2 linked regions of the Arabidopsis thaliana genome follow. The protein of the gene in region 1 interacts with the protein of each later gene in a pairwise test. Each region holds a gene or a part of one and is shown in the gene's direction. Other genes may lie near its edges. The genes, in order: POLH and PCNA2.

Region 1 (6,677 bases):
ATCCAAACATTTATACTTATGTCTACATGATTTAACTGAAACTAAATCATCTTGTATAGACTTACAGCCCAGAAGTCTGTTGGCAGAGATAGAGTCCACTATCCATGTAGGTTTCACAACAGGTAATCCTCTGCTGAATGTCCTGATTGGAAACAAAAATCCATTATAAGACACGAACTTGCAAGAAATTAGCGAAGAATTTTAAAGAAACAACTAACCTAAGATTCTTGACTTTACTATCTGGAAGGTTGCTGCAAATGATATGTGTAACAGAACGCCTAGAAAAGTAGTTCTCAAATCTTCCACCATACTTCATCATGTATCCTTTCAACTCCTACACAGATCTAGACACTGTTAAATCACATATAACCCACCAGCAAAACTGCACTACAACAAATTCTAAGGTTTATTCACCTGCAACAGTTTGTACGATATAAGAGTTAAGCCATTTCAAATCAGGAAAGAACTAGAAACCAACAAAATTGAAAATGGGTAGAAACCAAAGCAATAGAGCTTAAACCTGATGAGAAGGAATAGTGAACCCATCCACAAAGATTGAAACCCCTTGGAAAATAAGTTTCTCAGAACCCGAAACACCACGAGAAGCAGCAGAAGCCTCAGTCTCAAATTGGTTCTGAAGTTTCCTATTTTTCACTTCCATGTAACTAACATCAAAAACATAAAAAAAATAATCAACAACCACGATAGTATAACAATGCTTAACGCATCTTACTTCATTCTAACTTCATAAAATTTCCAAAATTCAATCTTTCTCAGAACATCACTTTTCAGAGGGAAAGTTTCAACTTTTACATGGGAATTTCAAAATCTAACCACTACCCAACACTAAAATGGCAGAGAATGATAGAAAGACCTTCCGAAATCGGAGAAAGGAGAAGACCGGAAAGAAGAACGAGAAGAAGCAGCGCCCCATGCCGCGCCTAGGGTTTTCTGATTGCTCGGATTATTATTCTTCTTAGACTTCTTGTTACTTCCACTGCCACTATTGTTTGAAGAATTTGAACCCAAGCTACGCTTCATTGTTGTTGTTGGGGAGGAATCTCAACGAGACGGAGAAGAAGAAGCATTCAACGAAATTTTCCAATTTGTAAAGTCACAACCTGTGAGTGGTTTATATACTAAAACACAAACATTTTCAGATTAGTACTTAAACTTGTATATACTTCCAAAAATCCCCATAAGTTTTAATTTTTACAGTTATAATTTAATACCTAATTTTTTTATTTTATTTTTGTAATCATAAACATAATTGAGAGAAAATTGTTTTTCTTGAATCCAAATCTTTAGTTAGTGAAGATTATCTAGCCAAATTTAATGAGCAATAAAAATCGACATTTCACAATAATAGTGAAATTAATAATAGTAGTGAACAAATAGTAATGGATGAAAAAAACATGACCCATATTATTTTTATGATTGTTTTATATAAATAAAAATAAACTCAATAAAAATTTTATGTAATGAATAAATATTAAATATTTTATCTATACTTTTTGTTTATCTACCGAACGATCAACCATAATTCGAAAGATGCAGCTTGATGTCCATAATTTTGTTACCACACTAAATCTCTAAAAACAACAATGTCAATCTTCAACCTATTTTTACAAATAATTTGACACGGCAAATTTGGAGAAATATTTAGGGTTTGAGATCATTACAATGAATTTCATGTTTTGTTGTCAAATTACTTGTGTTCTAAACGGGTTATTTTGCAAAGTTTAGTTTCTTTGAGGGTTCGTTTTGAAACTTTCTCATTTTATTAATCTGTCTCGCTTTTTCTCCTAATTATTATTTTCGCGCGCTATTCATCAGTCATCATCCCCAAGAAACCCCTCTTTCGGTGGTAAAAACTCTCTCTCTCTCTCTCTCTCTCCCTCTGATTTCTGCGGAGATTTCTGAAATAGAAATGCCGGTAGCGAGACCGGAAGCATCGGATGCTAGAGTTATCGCTCATGTCGACATGGATTGCTTCTACGTTCAAGGTCCTTCTCTCTCTAACCCGAATTGTATTCAGCCACTAGACGCTTTAGTGAGAGAAAGCAAAGCTTTTTAACACTTTTTTTGAACTTTTTAGCTTTGTTGGAATTTTGGGTTTCAATCGAATTTTAATAACGGTTTCTTTTCTTTTTTTTTCTCGTTGGCGTTTGTTTTAGGGATTTGGGAAATTACCAAATACCAAAAAGTGTGCTTTTTTGTTTCTATTTTATCAAAATGTCTCCTTTACTTACCTGGTTAAGGGATTTTTTTATGAGTGAGTGATTAGTGGAGCAGAGGAAGCAACCGGAGTTGCGAGGACTGCCTAGTGCAGTTGTACAGTACAATGAATGGCAAGGTGGTGGTTTGATTGCTGTTAGTTACGAAGCACGTAAATGTGGCGTAAAGCGGTTAGTGTGTAATTACAGAAATGCTTCTTTCCCCCAATTGTATCAATCTTTTGAGGATAGGGAAAAATTGTGTTTTGGGTTAATGTTCAGGTCGATGAGAGGTGATGAGGCTAAAGCTGCTTGTCCTCAGATTCAATTGGTTCAAGTTCCTGTGGCTCGTGGTAAAGCTGACCTTAATTTATATCGCAGTGCCGGTTCTGAGGTTGATGGAAGTGGAAGTTATTATTATACTGTTTGTGTTTGTCTAAACAATGACATTTGCTAAATTCATCTCATTCTATGTGTTGTCGCTGCAGGTGGTTTCGATTCTAGCAAAAAGCGGAAAATGTGAGAGGGCTTCGATTGATGAAGTGTATCTTGACCTCACTGATGCAGCAGAAAGCATGCTTGCTGATGCACCTCCAGAGAGTTTGGAATTGATAGATGAGGAAGTTCTTAAATCCCATATTCTTGGAATGAACAGAGAGGTCTGTTTTGGTGTCTTTTAGTCTCCAACAAAAGTATAGTCGATAGTCAATATTATGATCTGAATTTATTTATTTTACTTTCAGGATGGAGATGATTTCAAGGAGAGTGTCCGCAATTGGATTTGTCGAGAAGATGCTGATCGACGTGATAAGTTATTAAGTTGTGGAATTATCATTGTTGCAGAACTCCGGAAACAGGTGCTTAAGGAGACTGAGTTTACTTGTTCTGCTGGCATAGCCCATAACAAGGCAAGAAGCTATTTTATTTTGTTTTCCTTTTATCGCTTGTATGGCGAGTAATAACATATAACTTCAACAAGCAGATGCTAGCCAAACTTGCTAGTGGAATGAACAAACCTGCGCAGCAGACAGTTGTACCATATGCAGCTGTACAGGAATTACTAAGTTCCTTGCCAATAAAGAAAATGTAAGTAAGTTTCAATAGTGTATTGATCACAACACATATTTTCGTAGGAGAACTTTTAGTATTTGTCACATTCTACGGAATACACTTAAATATTTGCGTCAGTATCAACACAGCTGTGTTTTATAAGATGTAAGACAGTCCAAAGTTGTGTATTGCATCTTTTATCGCTGTCCCAGGATCATAAAATTTTCAGTTAGTGCTGGTAATCATTGAGCTCTAATTAGACATAACGTGCAGGAAACAACTGGGAGGAAAGCTGGGCACTAGCTTGCAAACTGACTTGGGAGTTGACACAGTAGGGGACTTGCTGCAATTTTCTGAAACGAAGCTACAAGAACATTACGGAGTAAATACTGGGTAATAGCTTTGGAAAAGATAGAATTTTTGTTGTCCTGGACTCGTAGGCTATTGTAGATTGTTCATTATTTGATTAGTACCTTCTAGCATACTAAATTCCCAATAGTTGCTTATTTGCTTGATAATAGAAATTTAAAGACATGCAACTCGTGCTTGTTTGTCTATTAATACGTTTTTCTGATTTTTCCCCCGACTTGTAGTACTTGGTTATGGAATATAGCAAGAGGGATCAGTGGAGAAGAAGTGCAAGGTCGCCTTCTCCCCAAAAGTCATGGTTCTGGAAAGACATTTCCCGGACCTCGTGCTTTGAAGTCACTCTCAACTGTAAGAGTAGAATCTCAACAATGCACTTCTTTTCCCTTTGCTATCAGTTGCTCTAGTTGATAGGTCATAACTGAAAGTGCTTATAGAGGTGAAACGTTTTGGAAAAATAGTAGCAAAAGTATCCCCTTTTTATCTTCAATCATATCATAGAACTAGTTTTTAGAATAAGTGTTGTGTTCTCTTATATTTCTAGGTTCAGCATTGGCTGAATCAGCTTTCCGAGGAACTAAGCGAGCGCCTCGGTTCTGACTTGGAGCAGAATAAGCGGATTGCAAGCACCCTTACCCTTCATGCTAGCGCTTTCAGAGTACCTACTTCTCTTGTTATATATCATTTTTCTCTGCGAAGACTACGACTTAAAACATATTTTTCCTGAAAAATATTGCAGTCAAAGGATTCAGATTCTCATAAGAAATTTCCTTCAAAATCATGTCCTATGAGATATGGAGTAACCAAGATCCAAGAAGATGCCTTTAACTTGTTCCAAGCTGCCTTACGTGAGTACATGGGATCCTTCGGGATCAAACCTCAAGGAAATAAGCTAGAGACATGGAGGATAACAGGTCTTTCTGTTTCAGCGAGTAAAATTGTTGATATACCATCTGTAAGTTCTTAGAGCCATTAAATGTCTTCTACTTACTTATCTCTTTCAAACATTGGTTGGTTTCTTCACTGATTTGGTAGGAGTGATATCTTATTACTGTAGGGAACAAGCTCGATCATGAGATATTTTCAAAGTCAACCTACTGTTCCTTCTCGTTCAGCAGATGGTTGTGTTCAAGGAAATGTAGCGATGACTGCTTCAGGTATTCTAGAGTATTTCTGTATATTTTCAGAACTTTCTACTTCTCTTGATTCTGGTACTTAATGTCGTGATCTAATCTGCAACTGGTGCAGCTAGCGAAGGATGTTCAGAACAGAGGTCAACAGAAACTCAAGCAGCAATGCCTGAAGTAGACACCGGTGTAACTTATACTTTGCCTAATTTTGAAAACCAAGATAAAGACATTGATCTAGTCTCCGAAAAGGTATCAGCTCTCATTTCCCTTTACTCTAAAGCATATTTTAGGCCTTTCTTAGAGGTGTGATCTAGCAAAAAGGCTAAACATATTTAGGCTCAATTACGTTCTCAGTTTCAACTTTCAAAGGAGCTTCTTTAGTAATTATAACTGGTAACGAAGTGATTGGTTAGGCCCTGTAGTGTTTGAATGACTCAAGAGCTTATATATATGTTCTTAAATTGTGTATCCTTGAAGAACCAATTCCACACATTCCTTGTCAGGATGTTGTCTCTTGTCCATCAAACGAAGCAACGGATGTTTCTACCCAATCAGAATCAAACAAAGGCACACAGACAAAGAAAATTGGGCGGAAGATGAACAACTCGAAAGAAAAGAATCGGGTACGCAATATATTGCTTTGTTTGGTGCACGAAAAGCTTCTACCTTTACTGAGATTTGTTTGCTTGTTTGTTCTCAGGGAATGCCTTCAATTGTCGATATCTTTAAGAATTACAATGCAACACCTCCATCAAAACAAGAGACTCAAGAAGATTCCACAGTGTCATCAGCCAGTAAAAGAGCAAAGTTAAGTAGCAGCAGCCATAATAGTCAAGTGAATCAAGAGGTAGAAGAGAGTAGAGAAACAGATTGGGGATATAAGACTGATGAAATCGATCAGTCAGTTTTCGATGAATTACCGGTTGAGATTCAACGAGAACTCAGGAGTTTCCTACGCACCAATAAGCAGTTTAACACCGGTAAAAGCAAAGGTGATGGTTCTACTTCAAGCATTGCTCATTATTTTCCACCATTGAATAGATAGATCTAAGCTCCTTTGTCTCTGTTGTTGACTGTATATAGTGTAGTCCTTGTCTACCTTAGATTTGGTCTTGTATCTTGAGTACTACAGATATATTATGCTTAAATCCTATTAAAAATGTCATTTTTGAGCAATAGAAAAACTAAATATATATATATCGTCTTTAAAATCCATCGAGACCTCTTGTTTTTTATGGTATGCACAGTGATAGAAGGGTTTTTTTTTTTTTTTGGTAAACATGTGAAGAAGTGATAGAAGGTTTATCAGAAGTTTGTATATCTTTGCTCAACCACGGAATCTCATGAAATATTCAAACATCCTACCTAATTGCTCTAGTTTCTCTAGTATGAGTTCTTTTTGGATCAATTCTATATCAAACGATTACATTTTATTTTCAAAAGTCAAATCAATCGAAATGTTAATTACAACTTCGCCTAAATATGACTTTTTTCTTAACTAACTTATTTTTCATCCTACTTTCTAGAATAGAATTCTCTAATATTAATTGACCTAACATAAGTTTTTTTTTTGGTAAGGAGGATTTTTTTTTTTGGTAAGGTTGAACTACCATAAGTTTGTTTGCTATCAAAACATTTTTACTTCATTTTGAGCGTAAAAACGGTAAAAAAGAAAACACAAAATTCGAAAACCTGAAACCGTTTTTGGGGTTAGGACAATACTGCAGGCCACTGTCATGCCATCCAATGGGTTTACTTTTTATTATTGTTCCTCCTGTGTGTAAAATACCCTAAATACCCTCGAACTTGCTCTCCAAAATTGCAATTAATTTACCTTTAAAAGCTTAATTAAGAGTGTCCGATTTCTCAAGAAATCTATCTAACACCAAGATTATAATTTCTATTAGCTGCCTAA
Region 2 (4,633 bases), on another chromosome or scaffold:
GAGGATAGTGGCCATGTGGTGGCATAGTGTAAGAAGAAGAAGAAGCTCCTCTGTTGTCACTGGTGCTTGAACCGCTTTCTTTGGACGAACTAACTGCACCCATTCTCTGAGGGTCCATTGATGGGTAAAATGGTCTGTCTTGATGAGGAGGTTGTGGTGGTGGTGGGTGCATATAGTATTGTAGCATTGGTGGAGGTTGATTCTGTTGCTGAGATATAACTGCTCGAGGTAGTAAACCACTATGAGCCACACTGCCCTGTTGGTTAGAACCATCTTGATCAGGTTTGGGAACCTGAGGTCTTCCCCATGTGAGTTTTAGCCTCTGACCGTTGACAACTAGCCTGTTACTGAGCTCTTCTGCAGCTTTCTCTGCTCCTTCTCGGGTTGTGTAAGTGACAAACGCACATGCTTTCTCAGCCAAGATTCTGATGGATTCGATTTCTCCATGGGCGTAGAATTGATCACGAATGTCTTGCTCAAGGACTCTCGAGTTTAGCCCACCAACATAAAGCGTTCTGATGCTTTGATCCTCTGGAGATTCCAAAGTACCCATCTCCCCAGCCTTGCCAAGTAACTTCAACGCAACTGGATCGTTTACACTGCAGGAAGTGAAGAATAAGATGAGAAAACAGTTCCAATATCACCAAAATAACAGCCAGTTTACGCACACAAACTGATGTATTTTTCATAACTCTCTTTCATGATATACCAAAGCAAGAAATTGAGGAGTAACTCAATATTATCATACTCAAACAAAATGAAAGTTAGAAGTATGCTTACCCATAATAACGGTCTTTAATGTTCTGCTGGGATAACTCTCCTGTTTCAGGCATCTCATGACGGTATGGACACTCATCACCTCTTGTACACTCTCCCCTAATGAAGAAACTACAAATATGAGCTCGGTTCCTTTTGTAGTAAGGCGTTGTCCTTTGAAGCATACGAATGGTATCGTTGGGCCGAATCTTCCCAAAAGAAGACTCATAATCTAGTCCAGCTCTCGTCTACACAAGAAAACAAAACCATTTCAATAGGCCATTACAAAGTAGAGAAACTGTATAGCCAAATCTCAAACCAATCAATACTCAAATAATATAACTAGTTAGAACGCAGAGTCACCATACCTTTCGATCATGCTCTTCAGCGAAAAACTCTCGGTTCACATCACTTTTTGGGATAGAATCATGAGTACTAATGTTGAGCGCCGTGTCTCTGACCTGAACTGGAAGACCATACTCAAGATCCAAGAGACAAACTTGGCACACATTCTTCAACTTGCAACATGTCTGACAAACTTCAGTCTTCTTGTATCTCGCATCCCTACCAGGTCGCCATCTGAAAACCGTGAAAGGCCGGGTACAGATCTTACACTCTTTATCGTAATTCGCCTTTGTCTACATACCAAACAACAACAATAAATCAATCAATCAATCAAACATGAAGCTGCACATCACTACCAGACATAACATGAGACAGTATTCAATGAATTACATTCCCTCTAAGCAAATTTGATCAGAACAAACCAAAGATATCATTTTGAACTACAACTCCATGAATTCTGATTTTTACCAAAGGTTATGAATTGTATATTAAATCGCTTAAACCCTAAAATCTCAAATCACTAAAATTGCAGCTTCAACACTAAGAAACATAAAAGCATTAAACAAGCTCGAAAATGGACAAATGAAAGGAGATCTTAATAAAGACACATGAATGTTAAAAAAAAATCTAGCTAAAGGCAAGGAAATCGAATTTGTTTGAGGAGAAACATAGGAAGCGAAGAATATACCATTCTCACGTAAGGATTGTCACCGAGACAAGACTCACAGATGATTGGGAAATCAGAACGTTCCCATCCATCAGCCTCGTGATCTCTCAGTATTCTATGCGCCATTTCCTAATTCTCTTCCTTCCTCAATGATTTCTGGATTTCTTCTTCAGTCTCGAACACGAAGATTACCTTGAAGAGCAGATTTGCTCTCGTTTCGATTTTTTCGGGAATCTTTAATATTACAGCTGCTGTTGGGCCGAATGTTTGTTTGGCCCAATTTAAACCCATGAAATAAGAAAGCTTAAAGTGATGGTGGTGTACTGAAATAAACAATACGGACTCACACAGATGATAATTCATCGTCACACACAGGCGGGAACAAAAATACCCTAAAATCGCTAAATGGCGCCACAAAATCTCAGCTTATAATATCACTTCCCGCTAACAATTGCAATCTCCTCCCAGAAATTTCAACAGCTCTAAAAACCCTAACCGTTTCGATTCACACTCTAACCTTTCGATAATTTCCCAGAAGATGTTGGAGCTTCGTTTAGTTCAAGGTTCTCTACTGAAGAAGGTTCTAGAAGCGGTCAAAGATCTGGTGAACGATGCGAACTTCGACTGTTCGACCACAGGGTTCTCGCTTCAAGCTATGGATTCGAGCCATGTCGCGTTGGTGTCTCTTTTGCTTAGATCTGAAGGTTTCGAGCACTATAGATGCGATAGGAACCTCTCTATGGGAATGAATCTTGGTAATATGTCTAAGATGCTGAAATGTGCTGGAAATGATGATATCATCACCATCAAAGCTGATGATGGTAGCGACACTGTTACTTTCATGTTTGAGAGTCCCAGTAAGTTCTTCAAATCGATTTTTGTTTGTTAGGGCTTTGGTTTTGTTGTCAATGTTGATGCTATTGGTGACCTGATTCTGTGTTTATAGGTTTGATTTGCCAGAAGCTAGAATATGATTGTAGAGAATGATTCAGTCCATTTCTTGAAAGCTTTAGTTTGTAAGAGATGAAAGAGAAGATAAAATCTATGTTAATAGAGGGTTTTTGGTTTGGAATAAGGTTTGATATGGCTTTGTTTTTGTGTAGTTAATGATGTTATTAGTGATCTGAACTGTTATTTATAGGTTTCATTTGACAGAAACTAGAACTTGCTTGATGAGAATGAGTCCTTCCATTTTTGTTTTCAGAATAGGTATAGTCTCTAGCTTAAAGACTATAGTTTGAAAGTGAATAGAGTTTCTTGATTTAGTGAAAGTTAACAGAGGAACTTTGTTTGATATTGACTATGTGGTGTTAATCTCATTATTTAAATGGTGTTGATGATGCAGCACAAGACAAGATTGCAGATTTTGAGATGAAGCTGATGGATATCGACAGTGAGCATTTAGGAATTCCTGATGCTGAGTACCACTCGATTGTGAGAATGCCTTCTGGTGAATTTTCCAGGATATGCAAAGATCTCAGTAGCATTGGTGACACAGGTAAATGAACTGTTTGTTTATTTGGTGTATCACTGCGAGGATTCTCTAATCATGATTCTGGTTTTGATGTTATGATTTTGCAGTTGTGATCTCGGTAACAAAAGAAGGGGTGAAGTTTTCAACAGCAGGTGATATCGGGACAGCAAACATTGTGCTCAGGCAGAATACTACCGTCGACAAAGTATGAACAATCACTAGTCATCTAGAGAGATTTGTTTAATAATCTGTCCAATACAATGTTGAAGTGACCTTATGTTTGTATGTGTGTTTTGCAGCCTGAAGATGCTATTGTGATAGAGATGAACGAGCCTGTTTCGCTTTCATTTGCATTGAGGTACATGAACTCCTTCACAAAGGCTACTCCATTGTCGGAAACTGTGACCATCAGTTTGTCCTCTGAGTTACCGGTCGTGGTGGAGTACAAGGTGGCTGAGATGGGTTACATTCGATACTATCTGGCGCCTAAGATTGAAGAAGAAGAAGACACCAAACCAGAATAATGATGAATGTTTGATAGTCTTCGTTCGAGTCCTTTGTTGAAATGTCTGTCTTGATTCAGTTGTTTTCTGGATTTACTATCTTAAGGCAATGCTAAACTAGATAATCGTATGATGTTTGTCTTTCTGAAATTTGGAAAAGCTTGTTTATAACACTTTTCATCTGTTTGTTAAACATTGAAGAAAAAGAAGACACGAAGCCCTAAAACACGTTTGTTTGTGGCTTCTGCAACCTCACGAACTAGTGTTGATTGATGTTTTTGGATGCTTTTACAATTTGTAAAAAACATGTTTAACACTCTTTACTTCTGTTTGTTCTTAAATTTGGCAAAAACAACAAAAAATTTGAACTTTCAAGACACAAGAATTTGTCTGCGTGAGAAATAGACTCGAGAACAATGAAGTAAGACGAGAAGTGTAACAATTAATATCACATGTGCATTTTGTTTAGAGAGATAGCTTCCAATCTTCTCCAGCATACACTGCTTGATCCCCAAGCTCTTCCTCTATCCGTAGCAACTGCAGGAACATTTCAACAGTGATTCAGCTTTTTAATAAAGTAGTTTCTACAATGAAATGAGAACACTATCTAGCAACTAAATGTACATGGCTGCTCCAAACTCAATCATTATGGATCTATAAGCTGAGGCTGCATTAGCCAAAAGTTGAAGAAACTGAAACTTAGCCTAGGTTGCTAAAGATTCACATACCACAACATAACTCAGCTACTTAAAAGCTAAAAAGAAGCTGATGATAATCTGATGAAAGAGCTATGATCCAAAATTCCAATGCAGGTTACTCCACGTAATGTAGATTGTTCTAGTGTAATTGCATAAGGGGTACTGAGGATATTAGTTTGGAAAAAGATCC

The links.
Region 2: the proteins of POLH (region 1) and PCNA2 interact in a two-hybrid assay, tested with the Arabidopsis thaliana proteins (one study listed by BioGRID).

What each region holds. Positions count from the first base shown.
Region 1 is NC_003076.8:18,047,033-18,053,709, reverse strand, and holds POLH (Y-family DNA polymerase H), read left to right. Parts: upstream 1-1,813; 5' UTR 1,814-1,930; coding exon 1,931-2,006; exon of another isoform or gene 2,007-2,287; coding exon 2,288-2,408; intron 2,409-2,498; coding exon 2,499-2,610; intron 2,611-2,704; coding exon 2,705-2,875; intron 2,876-2,959; coding exon 2,960-3,124; intron 3,125-3,198; coding exon 3,199-3,302; intron 3,303-3,539; coding exon 3,540-3,659; intron 3,660-3,859; coding exon 3,860-3,983; intron 3,984-4,176; coding exon 4,177-4,290; intron 4,291-4,371; coding exon 4,372-4,587; intron 4,588-4,689; coding exon 4,690-4,789; intron 4,790-4,880; coding exon 4,881-5,011; intron 5,012-5,265; coding exon 5,266-5,385; intron 5,386-5,462; coding exon 5,463-5,807; 3' UTR 5,808-5,977; downstream 5,978-6,677. Other genes in the region: REV1 (DNA-directed DNA polymerase), read right to left, coding at 66-142, 219-334, 521-665, 875-1,041. UniProt on the Arabidopsis thaliana protein: Error-free DNA polymerase specifically involved in DNA repair. Plays an important role in translesion synthesis (TLS), where the normal high fidelity DNA polymerases cannot proceed and DNA synthesis stalls.
Region 2 is NC_003071.7:12,649,272-12,653,904, reverse strand, and holds PCNA2 (proliferating cell nuclear antigen 2), read left to right. Parts: upstream 1-2,151; 5' UTR 2,152-2,306; coding exon 2,307-2,625; intron 2,626-3,113; coding exon 3,114-3,266; intron 3,267-3,349; coding exon 3,350-3,447; intron 3,448-3,541; coding exon 3,542-3,766; 3' UTR 3,767-3,999; downstream 4,000-4,633. Other genes in the region: MAC5B (CCCH-type zinc fingerfamily protein with RNA-binding domain-containing protein), read right to left, coding at 1-599, 781-1,004, 1,125-1,394, 1,790-1,894; ENOC (cytosolic enolase), read right to left, coding at 4,211-4,282. UniProt on the Arabidopsis thaliana protein: This protein is an auxiliary protein of DNA polymerase delta and is involved in the control of eukaryotic DNA replication by increasing the polymerase's processibility during elongation of the leading strand. May be involved in UV resistance.